Linked DNA regions of Callithrix jacchus. The protein of the gene in region 1 purifies or fractionates together with the protein of each later gene. This does not show direct contact. Links are inferred from orthologs where the notes say so. Each region holds a gene or a part of one and is shown on either strand. Other genes may lie near its edges.

The links.
Region 2: the proteins of ATXN2L (region 1) and G3BP1 purify together in Homo sapiens (affinity purification with mass spectrometry; 4 studies listed by BioGRID and IntAct, with this or other methods). This does not show direct contact. The link is inferred for Callithrix jacchus from reciprocal best matches to the Homo sapiens genes ATXN2L and G3BP1.
Region 3: the proteins of ATXN2L (region 1) and G3BP2 purify together in Homo sapiens (affinity purification with mass spectrometry; 4 studies listed by BioGRID and IntAct, counting the BioPlex papers as one, with this or other methods). This does not show direct contact. The link is inferred for Callithrix jacchus from reciprocal best matches to the Homo sapiens genes ATXN2L and G3BP2.

Annotation. Positions count from the first base shown.
Region 1 is NC_133513.1:29,119,711-29,127,121, reverse strand, and holds part of ATXN2L (ataxin-2-like protein), read left to right. Parts: intron 1-1,936; coding exon 1,937-2,028; intron 2,029-2,686; coding exon 2,687-2,887; intron 2,888-3,467; coding exon 3,468-3,643; intron 3,644-3,810; coding exon 3,811-3,921; intron 3,922-5,214; coding exon 5,215-5,427; intron 5,428-5,523; coding exon 5,524-5,595; intron 5,596-5,845; coding exon 5,846-5,916; intron 5,917-6,090; coding exon 6,091-6,386; intron 6,387-6,470; coding exon 6,471-6,540; intron 6,541-7,120; coding exon 7,121-7,267; intron 7,268-7,399; coding exon 7,400-7,411. UniProt on the Homo sapiens protein: Involved in the regulation of stress granule and P-body formation.
Region 2 is NC_133503.1:50,739,592-50,746,269, reverse strand, and holds the end of G3BP1 (ras GTPase-activating protein-binding protein 1), read right to left. Parts: intron 4,589-6,678; coding exon 4,382-4,588; 3' UTR 3,143-4,381; downstream 1-3,142. UniProt on the Homo sapiens protein: Protein involved in various processes, such as stress granule formation and innate immunity. Plays an essential role in stress granule formation.
Region 3 is NC_133504.1:122,501,306-122,508,716, forward strand, and holds the end of G3BP2 (ras GTPase-activating protein-binding protein 2), read left to right. Parts: intron 1-920; coding exon 921-1,023; intron 1,024-2,166; coding exon 2,167-2,295; intron 2,296-2,854; coding exon 2,855-2,973; intron 2,974-3,614; coding exon 3,615-3,887; 3' UTR 3,888-6,540; downstream 6,541-7,411.

The DNA of each region.
Region 1 (7,411 bases):
TGTTGACAGTGAGGTTCATTTGAGGGGAGAGGGAAATATTTACTGCTGCTTATTGATGATGGTCAGGTAACAAATAGAAAGATATAGAAAATAGCAAACTAAAAACCTAGTCTCAGCTGGGGGCAGTGGCTCATGTTTGTAGGGCCATCACTTTGGGAGGTCAAGGCCAGTGGATCACTTGAGGCAGGGAGTTTGAGACCAGCCCAGACAACGTGACAAAACCCTGTCTTGACAAGATACATAAAAGCTAGCAAGGTGTGGTCGCATGTACCTGTAGTCCTAGCTATTTGGGAAGCTGAGGTGGGAGGATCACTTGAGACTGGGAAGGGTCAAGTGAGCTGTGGTCGCAGCAACTGCACTCCAGCCTGGCCCGGCCCTGTCACACATACACAAAAAAACCGAACTTACTCTATTACTATCTATAATTAACAACTGCTAACATTTGCATCAAATTATTTTTCAGCATAACAAAAAGTATAGATTACTGTATAGACCCATTTCTCTTCCCCAAATCAGCTACTCTGAGGGGTTTAAAATCTCTCCTGAGGCTGAGTGTAGTGAGCTCATGCCTGTAAGTCTCAGGTACTTGGGAGGCCAAGGAAGGAGGATCACTTCAGCCCAGAAGTTTGAGGCTGCAGTGAGCTGAGATTATGCCACTGGACTCCAGTCTAAGTGACAGAGTGAGGCTGTCTCAAAAAAAAAAACAAAAACCTCATGAATAGAGCTGATCATGGTGGTACACACCTGTAGTCCCTACTCAGGAGGCTGAGGTGCACTATGATTGAACTTGCAAACAACCACTGTGCTTCAGCCTGGGACCAGTGCGACCATCTGTTGAGAAACAAATGTCTTGTGAATAAATACATTATTGTTTTGTTATGTTTAGTTTGTACAAGAATTGGCTTTTTTTTCACCTTTTTTAATTTCTTGTGGTGCTACGTGGATCTAGTTCTTTGCTTCTATTGTTGTGTATTGTCTATATTTACATACGTATGTACGCACAGCAAATTGTATTCTTATCTGCATTTTGCTGCCATTATTTTGCTACTAACTATAGTATCTTACTGGACTTTTAGAACAGGTATTTCCCACGCACACGTGCCAGAATTTCTCTGGGATATCTTGGAAATAGAATTTTTAGGTCTTAAGACTTCTCAGTTTTATTGGTTATTGCTAATTTATGCTGTAGTTGTTAGTAGTTATTAACAATTGCAGTTAGTAATTACAATTAATAGTTGATTACTTTTGCCAGCCACATTCCTATTTTTTTCATTCTTGGTTTGGTCACTTTATTTTTGAGACGGGTGCTTTTTTTTTTTTCCTTTTTTTTGAGACAGGGTCTCACTCTTGCTCAGGCTGGAGGCTGGAGTGCAGTGGCTTGATCTCAGCTTGCTGCAACCTCTGCCTTCCAGGTTCAAGTGATTTTCCTGCCTCAGACAGTACTGCAAGCACATGCCACCATGGATGGCTAATTTTTCTATTTTTAGTAGAGATGGGGTTTTACCATATTGGCCAGGGTGGTCTCAAACTCCTGACCTCAGGTGATCCGCCCACCTCCCAAAGTACTGGGATTACAGGTCCAGCCAGTTGCCCAGGCCTAAGTGCAGTGGTGCCGTGAGAGTTCACTGCAGCCTCAAACTCCTGGGCTTAAGTGGTCCTCTCTCCTCAGTAGCAAGTAGCTAGGACTCCAGGCAGGTACCACCCCTCCTGGCTGTTAAATGTTATTTTTTTGTAGAGATGGGCTCTTGCTATGTTGCCCAGGCTGGCCTTGAACTCCTGGCCTCAGGGGATCCTCCTGCCTCAGCTTTTATAGGTTTCAGCCACTGTGCCCAGCCAATTTGGTCACATTTTGGAGTTTTTAACCTGATGGAAGGGAAGTGACTTGTCGTTGTTGCTTTACTTGCTGGATTTTAAAGCCGCCTTTCTTCCTCCCCAGTCCAATGGATGGGACCCCAATGAAATGTTCAAGTTCAATGAGGAGAACTACGGTGTGAAGACCACCTATGATAGCAGTCTTTCTTCTTATACGTGAGTGTCTTGGTGCTTTCCAGGTGATGTGTTGGGGATGTGGGGTTACTAAGAGAAGACAAGTTTCCAGGTAGAACTGTGCTCATTCTTCCCTGGGTGTCCAGGGTTGCTGTTTCGGCTCCTGCTCTGCCTTGTGGAACTGTTCCCGCAGAGGTTTTTTTGTTTGTTTGTTTGAGATGGAGTCTCGCTCTTTGTCACCCAGGCCTGGAGTGCAGTGGCATGGTCTCGGCTCACTGCAACCTCCGTCTCCCGGGTTCAAGTGGTTTTCCTGCCTCAGGCTCCTGAGTAGCTGGGATTACAAATTCCTGCCACCATGCCTAGCTAATTGTTTTGTATTTTTAGTAGAGACGGGGTTTTACCACATTGGCCAAGCTGATCTCGAACTCCTGGCCTCATCCACCCTCCTTGGCCTCCCAAAGTGGGATTACAGGCATGAGCCACTGCGCCTGGCCAAAGGTTTTAAGCATCTACGTGTTCCTCACATTTACAGATAAGGCTACCTGAGACGCAGTAGGTGCCTGTTAAACCCAGATATTGAGTTGAGAGGATTAAGTACTTAGGTACCTGAACTGGTGATCAAACTGGTTGAAATGTTTTTCCTTTTTTCCTCTTTGTCCCCTGGCACTGGGATGGTGGTGGTCTGTGGGTGCTGTTTCAGGGTGCCCTTAGAAAAGGACAACTCAGAAGAGTTTCGTCAGCGAGAGCTACGTGCGGCCCAGTTAGCTCGAGAGATTGAATCAAGCCCCCAGTACCGCCTACGGATCGCCATGGAGAATGATGATGGGCGCACTGAAGAGGAGAAGCACAGTGCAGTGCAGCGGCAGGGTTCAGGGCGGGAGAGCCCCAGCTTGGCATCCAGGTGACTGTCACAAATAGCCGGGACTGTCCTGGGGCCTGGGCCTAGAGTTGATGGATGTGTGCTGTAGTTTAAGCTTTGAGAGCATGTGAAATGTCACACATAGGTTTAGGGTTGAAGGTCCAGCAGGGTGATATAATTGGTCCAAAGTAACAAGGCTGAATGAAGCTTGTAGATCTAGGAAAAGAAACATTTCAGAACTTTGGTTTACTTTCCCTTTTTTTTTTTTGGTATCCATTTATATATATGTGCTATTTCTTTTTATAAAAGTGAAATATAACTACATTATGTGTGTCTTATAGAAGCTCCCCCTGGAACTACAGTGTGATCTTACCTTTGTTATAGGTTAGGAGTTGTAGAATTGTGGAGCACCGGCCAGGTTGGTTGGCTCAAGAGTTGATGTCACATAAGATCATAAGCCACAGAACATTTAACTAGGGCAGATCTTCAAGTGGGATAGTGCTAGAGCCAGGCAGTGTGTATGTTTGGGTCAGAGGTGGGAGACTTTAGAGGAAGAAATGGCTTCGTCTTTCCAAAACATGGGTTTTGTGGCTACCTGGCCTTATTTGAACTCTTTCCTCAGGGAGGGGAAGTATATCCCTCTGCCTCAACGAGTCCGGGAAGGCCCCCGGGGAGGAGTTCGATGCAGCAGCTCTCGGGGCGGGCGGCCTGGCCTTAGCTCTTTGCCACCTCGTGGCCCTCACCATCTGGACAACAGTAGCCCTGGCCCAGGTTCTGAGGCCCGTGGTATCAATGGAGGTGAGTTATGAGGTAAACTTGGTGGGGCAGGGAAGAGGATGCCGAGGAGGTTGGGAGGGTAATTGCAGGGGTTTGGGTGGGTTGCAATGATGCTGCATTGGTAGGAATGTAATGTAGCAGGTTGTCTGCTGCTTCTGACATTTTCTTCATCTTAAAAAAAAAAACAGGCCCTTCCCGCATGTCCCCAAAGGCACAGCGGCCTCTGAGAGGTGCCAAGACTCTGTCTTCGCCCAGTAATAGGCCTTCTGGAGAAACTTCTGTTCCACCACCTCCTGCAGGTAAAGCCTCAGTAGTGTCGGATGAAGAAATGAATAGAAAGAAACTGATAAATTTCATCAGTTTTATAAATTGATAAATATGTCAGTTGTTACAATGGTGGAATGGGAGATAATTTTAAGATAGATGTTTTGGGAGTTTGGGATTTAGTCATATTGGGAAAGAAATCTTCAGTTTCTCTGGTGCAGAAATCTCAACCTAGCAATCCATGGGTTATGTCTGCTTGGCAGACATCTTTTGAGATTTGAATCAGTTGCTGACTTTTGTGTGTGTGTGCGATGGAATCTCACATTGTTGCCCAGGATGAAGTGCAGTGGCGCCAGCTCACTGCAACCTCCACCTCTTTAAGCGATTCTCTTGCCTGAGCATCCCCAGTAGCTGGAATTACAGGTGCCTACCACGACACCTGGCTCATTTTTTTTTGTTGTTATTTAGTAGAGACAGGATTTTACTATGTTGGCCAGACTGGTCTCAAACTCCTGACCTCGTGATCCACCTGGCCATTTGCTAAGTTTTTAAAACGGGCCAACATGGGCAAATTGCTTGAGCCTAGGAGTTCAAGACCAACTTGGGCAACATGGCAAAACCCCATCTCTACAAAAAATTTAAAAATTAGCTGGGCATGATGGTGTGCACCTGTACTTTCAGCTACTTGAGCGGCTGAGGTGGGAGGATTGCTGAGCCTAGGAGGTTGCATTCCAGTCTGAGGAACAGAGCAAGACCCTTATCTAAATAAATAAACGAAATAATAGAAACCACAGAAAATTTTTAGTTTCTTTTGAATTACAGGAAGTTCTGTCAACTGAGCTTGCCTTGCTGCATAGCTTGAGTTGACTGGGACAGAATCCCAGTTAACCCCCTTAAGCATCCCAGTCAGTGGGGCGGGGTGGATCACCTGAGTTCAGGAGACCAGCCTGACCAACGTGGCAAACTCCATGTCTACTAAAAAAAATATACAGAATTAGCTGGGTTTGGTGGTAGCCACCTATAATCCCAGCTACTAGGAAAGCTGAGGCAGGAGAATCACTTGAACCTGGGAGGTAGAGGTTGCAGTGAGCCAAGATCTTGCCGTTACGCTCCAGCCTTTGCAACAAGAGTGAAACTCTGTCTAAAAAAACAAAAACCATTCCAGTCACTGATGATGCCTACCAGGCCATTTACCTGCTTATGTTACCTGCTTTGGCCTTCTAGACATTTAAGTTGGTGACCCTAGGTGTATAGTGTGTAAACTTTCTTGCTGATTTGAGTACGGCCCTTGTACTTACTACTGTAGACCAGTAGTAACCATCCCACAGCTCCTCCTTTTCTTCCAGTGGGCCGGATGTATCCCCCACGTTCTCCCAAGTCTGCTGCACCTGCCCCAATCTCAGCTTCCTGTCCTGAGCCTCCCATCGGCTCGGCAGTGCCAACCTCTTCAGCCTCCATCCCTGTGACCTCATCAGTCTCAGATCCTGGAGTGGGCTCCATTTCCCCAGCTTCTCCAAAGATCTCCCTGGCCCCCACAGATGGTAAGAGCTAGGTGTTTGAGTGCTGTGGATGCATGTTGAGTATGATGTGTGGTTCTGGACAGAAGGACTTTTGGGCATTTCTCTCTCCTTGCATAGTAAAAGAACTCTCTACCAAGGAACCTGGGAGAACTCTGGAGCCCCAGGAGCTGGCTCGGATAGCTGGGAAAGGTGAGGGTGGTTTTTTTTTTTCTGCTGAGGACTAATGCTCCTTTGTCTGGGGGAGAGTATTTTAGTTAAGTTTGTTGGAATTCAGAGGCAAACAATGTTTATCAGCCCATAGATCGCAATTTCACTTCTGTGATTCTCAGGAGTTTCTCCTTTTTTCTTTGCTAACTTGTCCTCTATTCTCTTGGCACTGCGTAGTCACCTTAGAGAAAGAATGTGTTGTATTTTCTTCTATTTCACTGTTTTCTCGTAGTCCCTGGTCTTCAGAATGAACAGAAACGATTCCAACTGGAAGAACTAAGAAAGTTTGGGGCCCAGTTTAAGGTGAGAGAACTGTGGAAGTGAGCTGGATGTTGGCAGGTTAAAGGGGTTAGGGGTGCTTCATAGATGAGGCAAAGGACTAGGTAGGGGTCAAAAAGATGAAATCAAGGATGAAAGAAGAAAGCAGTGCCTAGGGTCTAGGTCAGACTGGACCATGTATGTATTTCTCCCTTCCAGCTTCAGCCCAGTAGCTCACCGGAGAACAGCCTGGATCCTTTTCCTCCCCGGATCTTAAAGGAGGAGGCCAAAGGAAAAGAGAAGGAGGTTGATGGTCTCTTGGCTTCAGAGCCCATGGGGTCTCCTGTCTCCTCCAAGACAGAGTCTTTATCGGATAAGGAGGACAAACCACCCCTGGCACCAGCAGGAGGCACTGAGGGGCCAGAACAGCCCCCACCACCTTGCCCAAGCCAAACCGGCAGCCCCCCGGTGGGCCTTATTAAGGGGGAGGACAAGGATGAAGGCCCTGTTGCTGAGTGAGTGGAGCATGCTGGTGCCCTGGAAGGATGGCAGGAGGGACGGGAGCAAGCCGTGAAGATTTACTGTACTTTATTTCACAGACAAGTGAAGAAATCAACGTTGAACCCCAATGCCAAGGAGTTCAATCCCACAAAGCCTCTGCTGTCTGTGGTGAGCTGGGATGGGAAAATGTGGACTTTGGTTTCTGTGAGGAGACTTGGGCAGTGCTTATAGATGAATAGGGGGAGTGCTTCACTTCCAGGACCACTTGACTAGCAGGCAGTGTGAGGAGATGTCATAAAAATGTAAGGATGGCAACTTTGGGGCTGGCTTGGGGAAAGTGGACTCAGTTCTCCAGGGTTGGGTGACCAGAGATCCCAGTGAGTCTGACGAGGAGTTAACAGGTTTTTCTTTGGTTCTTGGCATTTGGCTGAGGGAGTATTAAGAGTGGGGTAAGAGTGGGGTAGTCATGAACAGAAGCTCTATTTGGGCCAGCTAACTTGGCTTAAGCGCTTGTATTTGGAAGGTTTGTGATCTTGGACTTAAATTCTTAAATTTCACTTAAATTCTCCGCCTCACCTGTAATTTGAGAATGCTCATCTCTCAGGGTTTAGTGCGAGGCTTAACCAAGATCAGTGCAGAATGTGTTTGGTACCCAGCATTTCATGGATGCTGGCTGTTACTACTGAAGGCATGGCCAGGAGTAGAAAGGAAGATACGAAATAAAATTGTCTTCCCTTGTTTTTTGCAGAATAAATCCACTAGTACTCCAACTTCTCCGGGGCCCCGGACTCATTCAACTCCCTCCATCCCGGTGCTGACAGCAGGCCAGAGTGGGCTATACAGCCCCCAGTACATCTCCTACATACCTCAGATCCACATGGGACCAGCTGTGCAGGTATGCGGAAAGATTGACTGGGCCCAGGGTTAGGGGGGTGGGATTTGGTGGGGCTGCCTGAGGGACCATGTCAGGCCTGTTCTGGGCATTTGTGAGCAAGTCATTCAGCCTCCTCTGTGTCCTCATCCCTAGGCACCTCAGATG
Region 2 (6,678 bases), on another chromosome or scaffold:
GTCACATAAACAGAAACTAAAAACCTGATTCCAAGCCAACACATATGCACAATCAAAAACCAAAACTGGTTAAGGGTTTTAGGTATTCTCTACATCATCTTTTCATTCATTTAGGCCTTGATTTTAGACTGTCACATCAAAGCGTGAACAGAGCAGTTTAATTTCAGTGTTGTCCTGAGGTGACATCTAATAAGAATGTAAATATAAACAAGTTTTATCTAACATGTGTCACCATCTCTCCTTTACTATAATCTGTTAAGAGCTGACAGGCCCACCTATGGTCCCCAGAACCTCAACATTAAACAAATATAATCCCAAAAGCCATTACTACCTTAGAACCAGAAATCCTTAATTTAGTTATCATCTAGTGCCACATGGCCAAATTGATCAGCAACTTTAATTCAACCCCTCATTCCACATAAGACATTGCTAAGTTGTTTTTTTTTTTTTGTACATTAGGAAGTTAGCTAAAACCTGATATTCAAATAAACGTTGGTGTTATTTCTTCTGCAAAGTTATAAACTGCTGAACTAAAAAGGTCAATGATTATCTCATCTGTATGCAATACTGCAGAGATTCTCTAAAGTAGCACAAAAAGAAAACTGTAATATAAAAGACATCTTCAGAAGTAGATTGGCAAATGCAACCATTTAAAAGAAATGTCATTCAGCATACAGGGGTCTACAAATCTATGCTCCATAGAAATGTTACCTGTAAGTTCTACAATGGATTTCTATAAAGTGCAACATTTTCCATTAAATCATTAACTTCTAACAAGGGTTTTACAATAGAGGGATGAAGAAAATTATCAGGTCACAGTTGATTAGCACAAAATACAAATTCTGTAAACTCACCTGGATTATGCTATAATAAAAATATTGTTATCCACATCCAGATTTCAAGTTTGCACTAAATTATCAAACCAGATGAGAAAAAAACTTAAGAACAAACCACCATTACTGTGTTACCATACAGAATCTGCAAATCAAAAAAAGACTGGCAAAATCCAAGTTTAATTATCTTGTCTCCCCTAAAGAAAATTAAGAACTATAATGTTAACCCTATTCCGAATGTATTCCTAACTCAAGTCTCCCTACAGTAGGAAGTTCATTACGGTCTATGTTACTGAAACGTAACTGGGGGGTCATTATGGTTCTAGAGAAAAAGTATTTGTTTGGGAGTCAAATATGCTCCTTGCTACATGGAGGACTGGAAAGTCTGTCATTTCACTGCTCTCAGTTTGTTCCTCATCTATTATGCTAAGGATAACATTAACTAATCCACAGCACAAATGTGAAAATTAACTTTTCTAACCTAAAACTAAAGTGCAAATCAACTAACACTGTGGTAGTGACATACTCAACCAAAGTCAAATTATTATTTTTGGATTATCCATCTCACTGGTCCCTAGCAATATTTGACAAAATTAAGAACAGTGGAATATACAAAGTAAAGCCCAACCTCACCACTAAAACAAAAATATACTTTAAGGCCCAAGATCTCTCATTATAAATCAACAGGTCTTAAATCTAAGACTCACTGAACCAAACAAATTTTACCTAGCTAAAATACTCATGAAACCAGGTACAATGCTGTACACCTATAGTTCCAGCTATCTGGAAGGCAGGAGGGCTGATGAGGCCAGGAGCTTGAGACCGGCCTGACAAAATAGCAAGACCTTGCCTCTGTAAAAATAAAAATACTCATGGGTCAAGCGTTCTAAGCTCAGTAACTCTTAAGCTCAATGTATCTATACATTGGGCCATTCCTACAGATGAAAAATTTCATTTTAAAATCTGAAAATATTGAATGTGATGAGCTCCTACAGCTGCCACCTATAGGAAATGTTGCCCTAACTTATATTCACTTTCCAGCAGTGGAAACGTATACATCTCTAAGCTCTCATGTTTACTCTACATGCAATCATGTACTTAATTGTACAAGGATTCCCCATAGTGCTGACCATAATGCTAATCCTATTTCTTGGGTCCAATACTATCATTCAAAACCTCACAATCATCCCAACTCTGATGACTGAAATCACTGGGGAAGCCTTTTATTTTCTGAGACTGTGCAGTGATTCCCTGTCGCAAGTTACAAGCAGCATCAGCATGTATTGCTGCACCTCTCCACATTTATACACACACATACACAACACACATACACTTGGTACAAATAATGGAAAGTGAAATTACTAATTACTTAGAGTAGATGTTACTATAATTCTTGAAACAGATTTCTATTTCCTAATTAGTTTGTTATTTAACTGAGACTGAATTTCAAAAGGATGAGTCTTCATTTGTTTTCCTAATCCCACAGCTCCACCCACCCATAGGAAGAGCGACTATCCATGTTCTTAATGGGGTTGCTCCATTTTTACACAACATTCGGTATCCTTAGACCCTACCCCCAATAAATGCCAGATGCATGTCTCTCCAACAACCCTTCCAAATCTCACACATTTCCAAATGTTCTCTAGAATGTGCTAACACCAAGCTGAGGATCGCTGCATCTAGTTAATGCCCTGTTTTGAAATGTATAATGTAGTATTCACTTGTGAAGAATAATTTCTAGGTTATCCATAATTTATGACCTTAAAGCTACCATAACTAATTTTTTTTTCCACCCACCACATGCTTAATATAAGCTACAAAAGTACAAGTTGTATTTCTTCCTATTATCACTGATCTGGGTCAAAGTGGTTACCAAAGTTACTTAAACTAACCCTCCAGAAAAGCCATGTGATTCAGTTATGTTTATGTAAAGGAGATGCTGCCAATTTTCAAATATTTGAGGAAGTGGAACCAAACTAGTAACACCAACTTCACTGTAGTCTTAACTGACCCCTTCACAGCAAACCTAGAGTTTCTCAGTCTTAACTGACCCCTTCAGAGCAAACCTAGAGTTTCTCAATAATGCAAATATTCCTATACTATCCTCAAATGACAGTCCTCAAGATGAATACTGTTAAGAAAATAAATAAGTGACTTTGACAACCTGGTTGCCCTTCAATTAGTAATGACAAGTAATCACACAAAGGCTTGCTTCACACTTGTAAACAAAATCTTCACCCATCTCACACACAGCACTCAACAAACAACACATATGTGAAACGAGTATTAGTCTATATTGCCAGATTAAATTTTCTTCCAGAAATATTTTAATAAAAATTGGCCATTTCCAAGAAACACCCACTGCATGCCCATCAATAAGAGAACCATAACAAAATAGAAAATTTACACGAGCACATCAGCAAAGTCCAATATTAAAGTCACATTCCTTCTTATGGGCTATGATTAGGAATCTGATTAGATACCAAAATAAAACTTAATACAAATGCTGAACTACTTAGGCCAAAGAACCTCTATAGAAGCATCTGTCTTCAAAGGCATTCCAGTTTGAGACTCAATTTTAGAATAAGGCATAACAAATAGGTTAACAGAAGACATGTAAGTTGATGAAAGAGGGATTCTACAATTCCCCACATACTCTGAACCTAATAATAAACAAATCTAGATTTTTTTTTTAATTATTTTTCTTTAAACAACTGCCAAGACTGAAATCAAAGATAAATAGAAGGCACAACAGTTTTGCTCTGGTTGTTATCTGGATTTGGGGAATTTTTTTGTTTTTTGTTTTTTTTACAAATACAAATTAAACATGAAAAAAAACTCTATTTCAAAAAAACTAAGTTCATGAAAAGCCTATCAGCTGCATTCTAGACATTTAAAACCTATATATCACAATTTAAATTTCAGTGGTAAAAACAGTAGGTTTTAGAATTGTTTTGTGATCCTCTATCAAAAGAAAATTCTATTCCTTTTAAACATACCAGTGAGAATCAAAACTGTCAAATTTTCCAATGGCAATTTCTCCACACCAGAAAGAAGCCATGACTCTCAAAGAAGAAACAATTTGGGTTTTTCCTGCCTTCAAAATGTTATCAAATCCTGTTTGTCTCACAGGCTTTTGAAACTTGTAGAAAATAAGAAATATTCCAATGAATGAAACATACCAAATGTCAGTAATATGCAAGACACATTCCTTTGGGGAAATGGCTGTTAAAAAAAAAAAAAAAGTCCAGTCTGCATATGCAAAGTAAGCAAGGAAATTCAGTCCTTTTCTTTTTTTCTTCTTTAAAAATCTGTTACTCCTAAAATATCATTCCACAAAATTGGAAGTGAAAGACTAAAGGGCAGGAAAGGGAAGAGAAGGAGAGAGGGATCACACACCATTAACACACAAAAAAAGTAAAATTATACAAACTTATGCAGTTTATAACAGACTGGGGTCATACTCCAAGATACCAAAGGCTGGTCGAAGAAATTCACCATTCTGTAGGAACTAGGGTTCGTATGGCTCCGTGAAGATACATGAAGATTCACTGCCGTGGAGCAAGCCCCCTTCCCACTCCAAATCCTGGTTTCTGCACCATGCCTCCACGGGGAGGGCCTCTCATTCCACCACCCAGCCCACCTCGAGGGCCTCCAGGTCCCCGAAGGCGATTATCTCGTCGGTCCCCCTCCCTGGCAGCTCGAGTCTTCTTCTCTTCCACGTTCAGACGAACCTCACCTCTGAACATGATGGGCTGTAAGAATCAAGGTGACCAGACTTAGAGTACTGATAAGCTGGCTATGACAACAGAGGATTAAAAAAGCTATAAAAAAAACAAAACAAAACAGCAGCGGTCAGGGGCGGTGGCTCACGCCTGTAAATCTCAGCATTTGGGAAGGCCAAGGTGGGAGGATCACGAGGTCAGGAGTTTGAGACTAGCCTGACCAACATGATGAAACCCTGTCTCTACTAAAAAAATACAAAAATTAGCCAGGCATGGTGGCACATGTCTGTATTCCCAGCTACCCAGGAGGCTAAGGCAGGAGAATTGCTTGAACCCAGGAGGTGGAGGTTGCAGCGAGCTGAGATCGCACCACTGCACTCCAGCCTGGGCAACAGAGCGAGACTCCGTCTCCTTAAAAAAAAAAAAAAAGAACCAGCAGATTATACATCAACTGAGTTCTCACAGTTCCGCTTTGTTTGTTTTTTTTAATGAGATGAAGTTTTGCCTATCACCCAGGCTGAAGTGAGCAAGATCTCCGCTCACTACAACTTCCACCTCCCGGGTTCAAACACTTCTCCCTGCCCCAGCCTCCCAAGTACTTGTTTTCTCATAGAATTACGTAAATTGAATAAAGAATTGCCACCTTCTCCACAGATGGTGGAGGCCTAGAATAAAACTGCATCATCACCAATGTGAAAAGATGGCACTGCACATATTTATGCAAAGTACATATACATTTCAAATAAAACCTTCATTGATTTGACAAACTTTAACTTGCTGTTCACCTTCTAAGAATTTCGAATAGTCTTGGTCTTCTTTTCCTCCTAACAGAGCCAATGCAGTTAACAGGCTACCAAACATTTCAATAAATTCAATTCATGCTCTTTACCAGCAATATAATTTTCTACTTTCTTAAAATGAGTATCTAACAGTATTTACTATATGTCACTGAAGTGTTCTATTCAGATTAATTAGCTCGGTTAACCTTTACAACAACCCTCTGATGCTTGATACCTACTTTAAGAACTAGCAAACTAAGGGCTAGGGAGGTTAAAGAACTTTTCCCATGGGCCACAATAATAAGTGATGGAAGAAGAACGTAAACCAAGGCCTCCAGATTGGGAAAAATACGCTTTCAACTACAAAGCTACACTACAGCATGTCATATACCAGAGCAATCAGTTTGACATAAGCTATTTTTGCTCACACAAAAAATTACTGAAAAGAGCATAGTACACTTCTATAAATACCATGAAATGAAGGGTGGCTACAAGATCTAATACATGCTGAATGACGGATTTATCTACAAAGCCTACTAGACATTTCTGGGTTCTTCACTGGCTTTGGTGAGATAAACCACTGTTCTCTCATTTCTCAAACAGTATTTTGCAGGAGATGCTTCACAAAAATATGTGGTCAAATAATTCGAAAGATAACATACATTTGCATGTTAAGGTTGACATAATGTTATGAACCGAACATTAAACTTTGCAATATGGCCAGGCGTGGCTGCTCATCCCTGTAATACCAGCACTCTAGGAGGCCAAGGCAGGCAGATCACCTGAGGTCTGGAGTTCGAGACCAGCTTGACCAACATGGCAAAACTCCATCTCTACTAAAAACACAACAAATTAGCCAGGTGTGGTGGTGGACGCCCATAATCCCCTATTCAGGAGGCTGAGGCTGGAGAACTGCTCGAACCTGGAAGGTGGAGGTTGCAGTGTGCCGAGATCATGCCACTGCACTCTAGCATGGGAGACAAAGCGAGACTGTCTCAAAAAAAAAAAAAAAAAAAAATAGCAGTATGCCCATTAACATTCTGGAGAATATCACTGATCTGCAATGTTTCTATTATATGGCTTAAAGTACATAGTTTTAATCCACAGGGAAGAAAGCAGATTAGTGGCTGCCAGGGACTGGGGAGACATGTACAAGGAATGACTGCATAGCGAGTAGAGAGCTTATGGCTTTTAGTAAAAATCTTTTGGAATTAGAGGTAATGGTTGCAAAGCAATGTGTTCTAAATGCAATTAAGTTGTACATTTTCAAATGGTCAATTTTGTTATGTAAATTTCACCTCAATAAAAAAAGTACAGCTTAATGAATTAGTATTATTTATA
Region 3 (7,411 bases), on another chromosome or scaffold:
GCATCCTTTGTAGGTTCATCTTATTTTGTGTCTCCTTGGACCATAAATATTTGGGTAGTAGAAGGTCCGAGGAAGTTGGGAATACTGAAAAAGCTGTTGTCTTGAGGGAAAGGTAATAGCAGATGCCAATGTAATTTTGTTTTAAAAATAATTATATGTTTAATTCAGCAGTTGGCAGAAACTTTTGGTAGGCATCTTAAGCTGTTCTATTACTCCCAGCCTCCTAGTTAGGGAAAATCACTGGGGCCAATACTTCAAATGTGTATTTTTCTCTTAAGAAAGAACAGTAGGGAGTTAAAGGAGTTTGACTATCTGAGTTGCTACATACAGGTTTCTATAAGTTTCTGTTATCTTTTTAGCATGCATTTTAACTTAAGGTAGCAATTTTAGGTGTTAGAGCAAGCTAATTTTTATACTTTGAACTACAAAAATACTGATTTTAAGATTATGGGCAGAGATTTAGGCAATACTAATGAGCACTATTACATTTGAAGGACAGCAAACTAGATTTTCAGAAATTATGTGTTATGGATTTTTGTCTTAAGATAAAGATGGCTTTTAATTTTGTTTATTTACATGGAGTGGTTCATCTTGCATTTTTGTGATTTTTTTTTTTTTTTGGTAGCAATACTTTTTATGCTATTTCAGTATTGATACAACTTTAATGAAAAAATATAACTGTAAAAAGCATCTTATTGTGAGTTATACAGCCTTGAGTGGGAAAACAAAAGCTACCTACAGTCCTAGATTGGTACAGAATATCTTGATAAAAATTTATTTTTCATATACATAGGACACTATGTTAAAAACATTCTAAACTTAAAGCTATCATTATGTCTACTAGAGACTTGTTAGTTGCTTTAGTTGATTTTTCTCCTGTGGAGTGTTTTTTACAATGTGTTTTTTCCTTTATATTTTAGCCAAGAGTTGAAGCTAAACCAGAAGTTCAATCTCAGCCACCTCGTGTGCGTGAACAGCGACCTAGAGAACGACCTGGTTTCCCTCCTAGAGGACCAAGACCAGGTGAGTCAGCTCTGCCTTTAGCATTTAACATTTGTAGGGTTGGAAAAGACTGAACTTTAAAAAAACCCAAAAACTATGATGTGTTCTGTACACAGACCTGTATAGTATCAAATTGCTTAAAGATGTGATGTGAGCAACCTGCTAAAATAGTATCTGTGGTGAATAACCAGTTTTTAGGGAGGATTGGTTGACATGCAATGGAGACATGTTTTGAAGGAGTAAAAGACTTAAAATTTATTTGGTTATTGTCACTGGTTTTAAGAATTCAAAACCAAGCTGCCAGTAACCTACTCTCTTAGCACTGTCTCTTCACAGATAAACAGTAAGCACACCTAGATTCTTATTTTGATTTTTAAGTAAGTTGCCATGATTTTTGACTTGTTTACATAGTTAGCTATACATGTAATACCTTTATTTGAACTGTATAAGAATTTTTAGATTGCTTTTGAAAGGAGATGGGAGAGATGGAGATAGTGACTATCACATTTACAATGTTTTTTGTTTTTTAAAGTAAACTAGAAGTTGTAAATTTGTCACTGATTAAACTTAGGATCTTGAGTGAGACCTTAAATTCTGAGCTTTTGTGTCAAACATTACACAAATTATTCTTGTGTATGCCTCACTGTGTTCTGTGTTATTGAGAGAGTCAAATAAGATTTTATTTATATCTATATACATATACACTTAAAATGTATAGACTACATAAATGTGATAATTGCTGTTAAAATTTATTGATTTTGCTGTAATGTCATATAGCCAAATAATTTTGAATTTCAAAAGACTAAGCAAATATTTAGTAGTCTGTACCTCACTATCTGAAGTCTGCTTGGCTCCTGGGTGATGGCAGCAGTTTGGTTAAGGAGGAATACCTGTAATACTAATACTTGATTTTTGTATAATCAGTCTAGTAGATCTAGAAGAAGCTATTTTAGCAACCTAGTCATTGTCCTCACTTTACATTTTAGTGTCATGCTGTTTTCTAACCTACTAATAATAGGTACTTTTGCCTCTTTTTCAAGAAGCTCACCTAGTCTTATTAAGCTAAAACAGGAATATCAATAGTAAGTGATTTTTACATTCATTCCTTTGAAGTAGTTTTTATGATATTGTAAACTTTAATATCTGTTCTATTTCTCTTTTCAGGCAGAGGAGATATGGAACAGAATGACTCTGACAACCGTAGAATAATTCGCTATCCAGATAGTCATCAACTTTTTGTTGGTAACTTGCCACATGATATTGATGAAAATGAACTGAAAGAATTCTTCATGAGTAAGTGATTTATTTTGCTGTAAGTTTTTAAATCATTTTAAATTAAGCAAGAAGCATATAGAGCTTTTTCAATAACTACTTTTTAAAAAATGTTTCTCTCTATACTGTGTCCAGCTACCAGTCTCACCTCAATTGAGAGGAAGGGAGTAGATGACTATATCAGATGTTTCTCCGTGACTGCTTAGTGTTGACTTGGTCTGGCTCAACAGAGTTTAGAAGATAAATCAGACTGGATAAATCAGTCATAAATTCAGAGATAAAGGATTCATTTGGCAAATGGGTCAATATATTAGGAGAAACTACATTGTCTTTCCAAATTATGCAGTTAACTTTACTTTTGAAAGGAGTAACAAAGATGCAGAAAGGCAGGCAGGCTACTTGGTATCTTAGGTGACTGCCTGCTTGAATAAATGTACCTTAGCTATCACTGTGTGTGGAAGCTTGCGAGTTTTCTTTTAAAATGGATCAAGGAGATAAGATTATTCATCCTGAACAATTACAGCCATCAAAGTATTCTGTTAAAAATATTTAACTCTTGATGTAATATATATTTTCACAGGTTTTGGAAACGTTGTGGAACTTCGCATCAATACCAAGGGTGTTGGGGGAAAGCTTCCAAATTTTGGTTTTGTGGTTTTTGATGACTCTGAACCAGTTCAGAGAATCTTAATCGCGAAAGTAAGTGATTTAAAGGGCATATTTCAAGACTATTATTTCTGTTGTATATATTAATTTGGGGTATTTAAAAACCATAGAGAATCTTTTAATAGTAAAGCTAAAAATAGTTAATTATTAAAGAGTATTTATGCAGTGAATAAAGATTTGTTAGCAGTTTTAAAGTCTTTAAGATGTGGATTATTTAAATTTTGTTACTTGCTTTGCTGAAAAAGGTGGGAGAGATTGCATGTTAAGAATTTTCGTAGGTTATAGTGGCTCACACTTGTAATCTCAGCACTTTGGGAAGTTATGGCAGAAGGATTGCTTGACCCTAGCAGAGTTCAAGACCAGCCTGGGCAACAATGAGACATCATATCTACCAAAAAGAAAAAGTAGCTGGCTGTGGTGGTGGACACCTATTATTATCCCAGCTACTCAGGAGGCTAAGGTGGGAGGATCACTTGTGCCCGGGATGTCATGTCTGCAGTGAGCCATGATTGTGCCACTGGCTGTTCACCAGCCTAGGTTATAGCTGAGACCTTGTCTCTAGTGGAGTGGGGTGGGATGGGGGGTTACGCTTATCTAACTTATCTGTTCAGAGTAATACATTTCTATTGCTGTCTAACTTGCCCATGTAAATATTTTTCTCCTCTTTTATAAAGCCGATTATGTTTCGAGGAGAAGTACGTTTAAATGTGGAAGAGAAAAAAACAAGAGCTGCAAGAGAGCGAGAAACCAGAGGTGGTGGTGATGATCGCAGGGATATTAGGCGCAATGATCGAGGTCCTGGTGGTCCCCGTGGAATTGTGGGTGGCGGAATGATGCGTGATCGTGATGGAAGAGGACCTCCTCCAAGAGGTGGCATGGCACAGAAACTTGGCTCTGGAAGAGGAACCGGGCAAATGGAAGGCCGCTTCACAGGACAGCGTCGCTGAAGCTCCACTGTTGGCATAGTCTTGGCAGTGGTACAATATTCATCGTGTTTGCATTCTTGTTAATTTTTTTTTTGGCTTTGGAATGTGACACAGCCTTTTTGATCATTTCTTTGATGTGAAAAGCATCTTTTGGTTATCAGTTAAATTGAGGTGGACATTATTACCCCAGTTTCACAACAGGATTCACATTGTTAATTTATAAATCTAGACTTGGAGAATTAAGGACTGAGAACTGACCATATTTTAAACTATCTACGACAAAGTGAACTTAAAAGGACATGCCCACTGAATTCAGGTCCTTTGAGTCAAAAAAAATCTTCTGCTGCACATTTTGTTTAAGTGTTACTGTTTCTGCCTGTTAATTTTGGGAATACAAATAGTGCAATTTGTGCAATTGGAGAATCTTGCCTTTTTTCTTGGCTCCCCTCAAAAATACAAACCAACAGAAACTTATTATGCACTCATCAAAATGCACTAATGGGTACTCTGAACTCATTAACATTGACATCTGCAACAGGTGGCAACAGGGAAAAAAATCTTTCATCTTCTTTTCCAGTAGAGAATAGTTTGTGAAATGATGAGGGCATTTTATCTGCTTGCTGTGACCAGCGTGTGTACACATAAACCTTAACAAGACTACAAGTATATTCCAGAAGGAAATCATTTTAGTTATGAACTAAATAACAAAAAATAGAACTTCAAATGCTATGGTCTTGACTATTAGACCAGATTTAGTAGCTCCATATCTAAGATTTTTCTACCTGCCCCTCTTCAGTACAGGGATGGCTGGCTGCTCAACACACTCCTCCTCCCCTTTTTCCTTTCTTTAAGCTGTGTACAGTGATAATTGTCTTACTGTATTTTTGTTCTCTGGTAATGTAATAAGCATGATGGTGCCTTCTATTAATACATCATTCCAGTCTTGCTGGTAATTTTGTACAGTATAGTGTATGAATTGCTGTGCTGCAAAGCCAAACAGCTGCAAAATGTTGAAAAATCATCGAAATGTATAAAAATTGCAGTATCTTTAAAATCAGTAAAATGGACTAGCATATTATTTATCTTGTTCTTTAGTTAACAACTTTGTGTTCTCTGTGGGAGGGAGGGAGTCCTGTGTGTTTGTGGGGAGAGGGAAGGAGGAAGTCAGTTATTTGAGTAAGTGTCTAGTTGACTTTTCTCTTGGCTAGAATGTGGACGTTGAAACGTATCACTTCAGCGCTTGGAAATGTCAGTCAGCTTGATGTACATTTTTAGTGACATTTTAAAAGCAGTCAGATTCCATAAATGGCAAGTAAGCCTGAAGTGAGGATACTGCAATTTTCAGAGAAAAGAACAGCAGCTCTTAAGTGTTTGCATTTTCTATTTGGGGGGCAGGGAACTGTCATTCATTTTGCACAATTCTTGAACTGATGTCAGCACCCGAGTGGCTCCTGAATTTAAGTCTGGGACGACATCTTTTATTTTTACATGAATCTTTAAACAATTCTGTGAGCAAAGTTTGTAGCTGCTGGATTATTGTCTGTCTTTATAGCAAGTTCCAGTAAACCACAAGTATGGCAAAGCTTATCCAATTTTATACTTGGAGCAATCAGTAAATACCAGTTTCTGATGTTTCAGGCAGGAAGTGAGGTAAATAAGTGTGACCACTTAAAGCTGCTCATTAGCATGGAAGACTTCTCCGTTCTATCTTTGTAAAACAAACAAGATATGCACTTGACATAGCAAATTGGTTCTGAATTATGCAACTGTTTGCTATTTAGTAAACTAGCAAATGATGGATGTATTTTGTTTTTTATGTACTGGGCAATATGAGTAAAATCTGTCTCTTTTTTCCCCTTTGAATGAGGTCTTCCATGTTTGAGGAAAAGTCTTGCACTATTGGATATATTTTGGGGACGCAGATTTTCATCGTTTCCATTTTGGGGGGCTTAAGGATTCTTTTTTTGTTTGTTTGTTTGAAACAGTTTTATACTTTCTGATGTATAGTACTTGAAGTTCTTACCAGAAAATTACTTTGGAGTTTTGAAGCCTTTATTAATACTACTTTCAAAGAAGCAGCTGTTTTATTGTCAATGTTTTTTTCGCCCCAAGCATATTTTCCTCTATTCTTCTATTTCTATTTCCCATTTTTTATATATACACATATATAAAATTTCCAATTCAGGATATTGCCCTGCCATCCATGAAAACTGTTCTGGCACCAAAAGTAATGACAAATGTTAAGTGTAATAGAAAAGTAGAGCAAAGAGCCATTCAGCTTCAGTCTTTACATACCATGAATAAAACATTAAAACATCATATGGAGAAGTTTACATGGTGATTGTTCACCTGCAGTACTGTGGACTTTTAACATTTTGTCCTCTTTTCAGTGAACCAGAGTAAAAATATTCATCTACCATTACTGTTATTTGCTGATTTTTGTTTTATTTTTTGATGGTAATATTCTATCCTTATGACACTATTGCAACCAAATTGGCTTTACCATCTTGGCTTTAGTAGGTATAGAAGACAATGGATTACCATCTTTATTGCTGTAATGTGTTAAGCATTATATGCTAGTAGAATCTAGTTTAATTGTTTCAGGTGGAAAGTATTTTGAGTTTCCATTTTGAATGTGTTTGGACTAAACAATAAACTACTGATGTCTGCAGCATTTATCTATGTCCCTAATTTAATCTATAGTTCTTATGTCCCCAGATGTTTTCTCCCAGTTGCATTTCATACAGACTAAGTGGGAATAATAAGAAGTTGGGTTTTAGAACAATTTATTTGTGAAATTTGATATATGAAAAAAGTAAAACATTTAAGTAACACTTGATCATTGTAAGAGATCTACCCCAGTCCAGTTAGACAGCTGGTATACAGGTTGAATGTTAGAAGAGAATAATAAGTAGTAAGAACAGTGAGAATGATTTAAAGTAGACTACAATTTTGGATTTTCTAAAGTATTTCTGCCTTGTATCTCACAAGGAAAGGAGAAAGGAAGGGATGAGAAGATTGAGGTTACCTGAAGTTATGGACATGACTCAAGTTCAGAAACTGAAACTAATTTATTAAGCTCTGCAAGAATATTGATGTAATCAGCCATACTTAGTCATGCTTTCAATGAAAAATGAGGTCCTAAAGCGTGTAATTTTAGAACCTAAACGGGATGATACATTTGAATTTTACCTGACATTAATAACACTTTAAGATTCCTAAATCAGTCTTCACAAATTTGTACTGGGGAGAAACCAGAATAACTATTGCTTAATCTTAGTGGGGAAGGAAGAATTAAACCTTTTGTAAACTGACTTTTAGTTATAATATAATTTATCTAACTGGCTATGGATGGAATAAAATGTATATCCCACACTGTTGAAAATAGGTTCAAATTTGAAACAGCAAATTATTACTTGGTCCCGGGAATTAATATGGAACAACATATTTGAAAATCTTAGCCATGCAAGAGGTTGAGTTGTTCATCATAATTTATATTTTACCTACAGATCAATAAAGACCCTTGATTTTTTTTTTAATTTTGT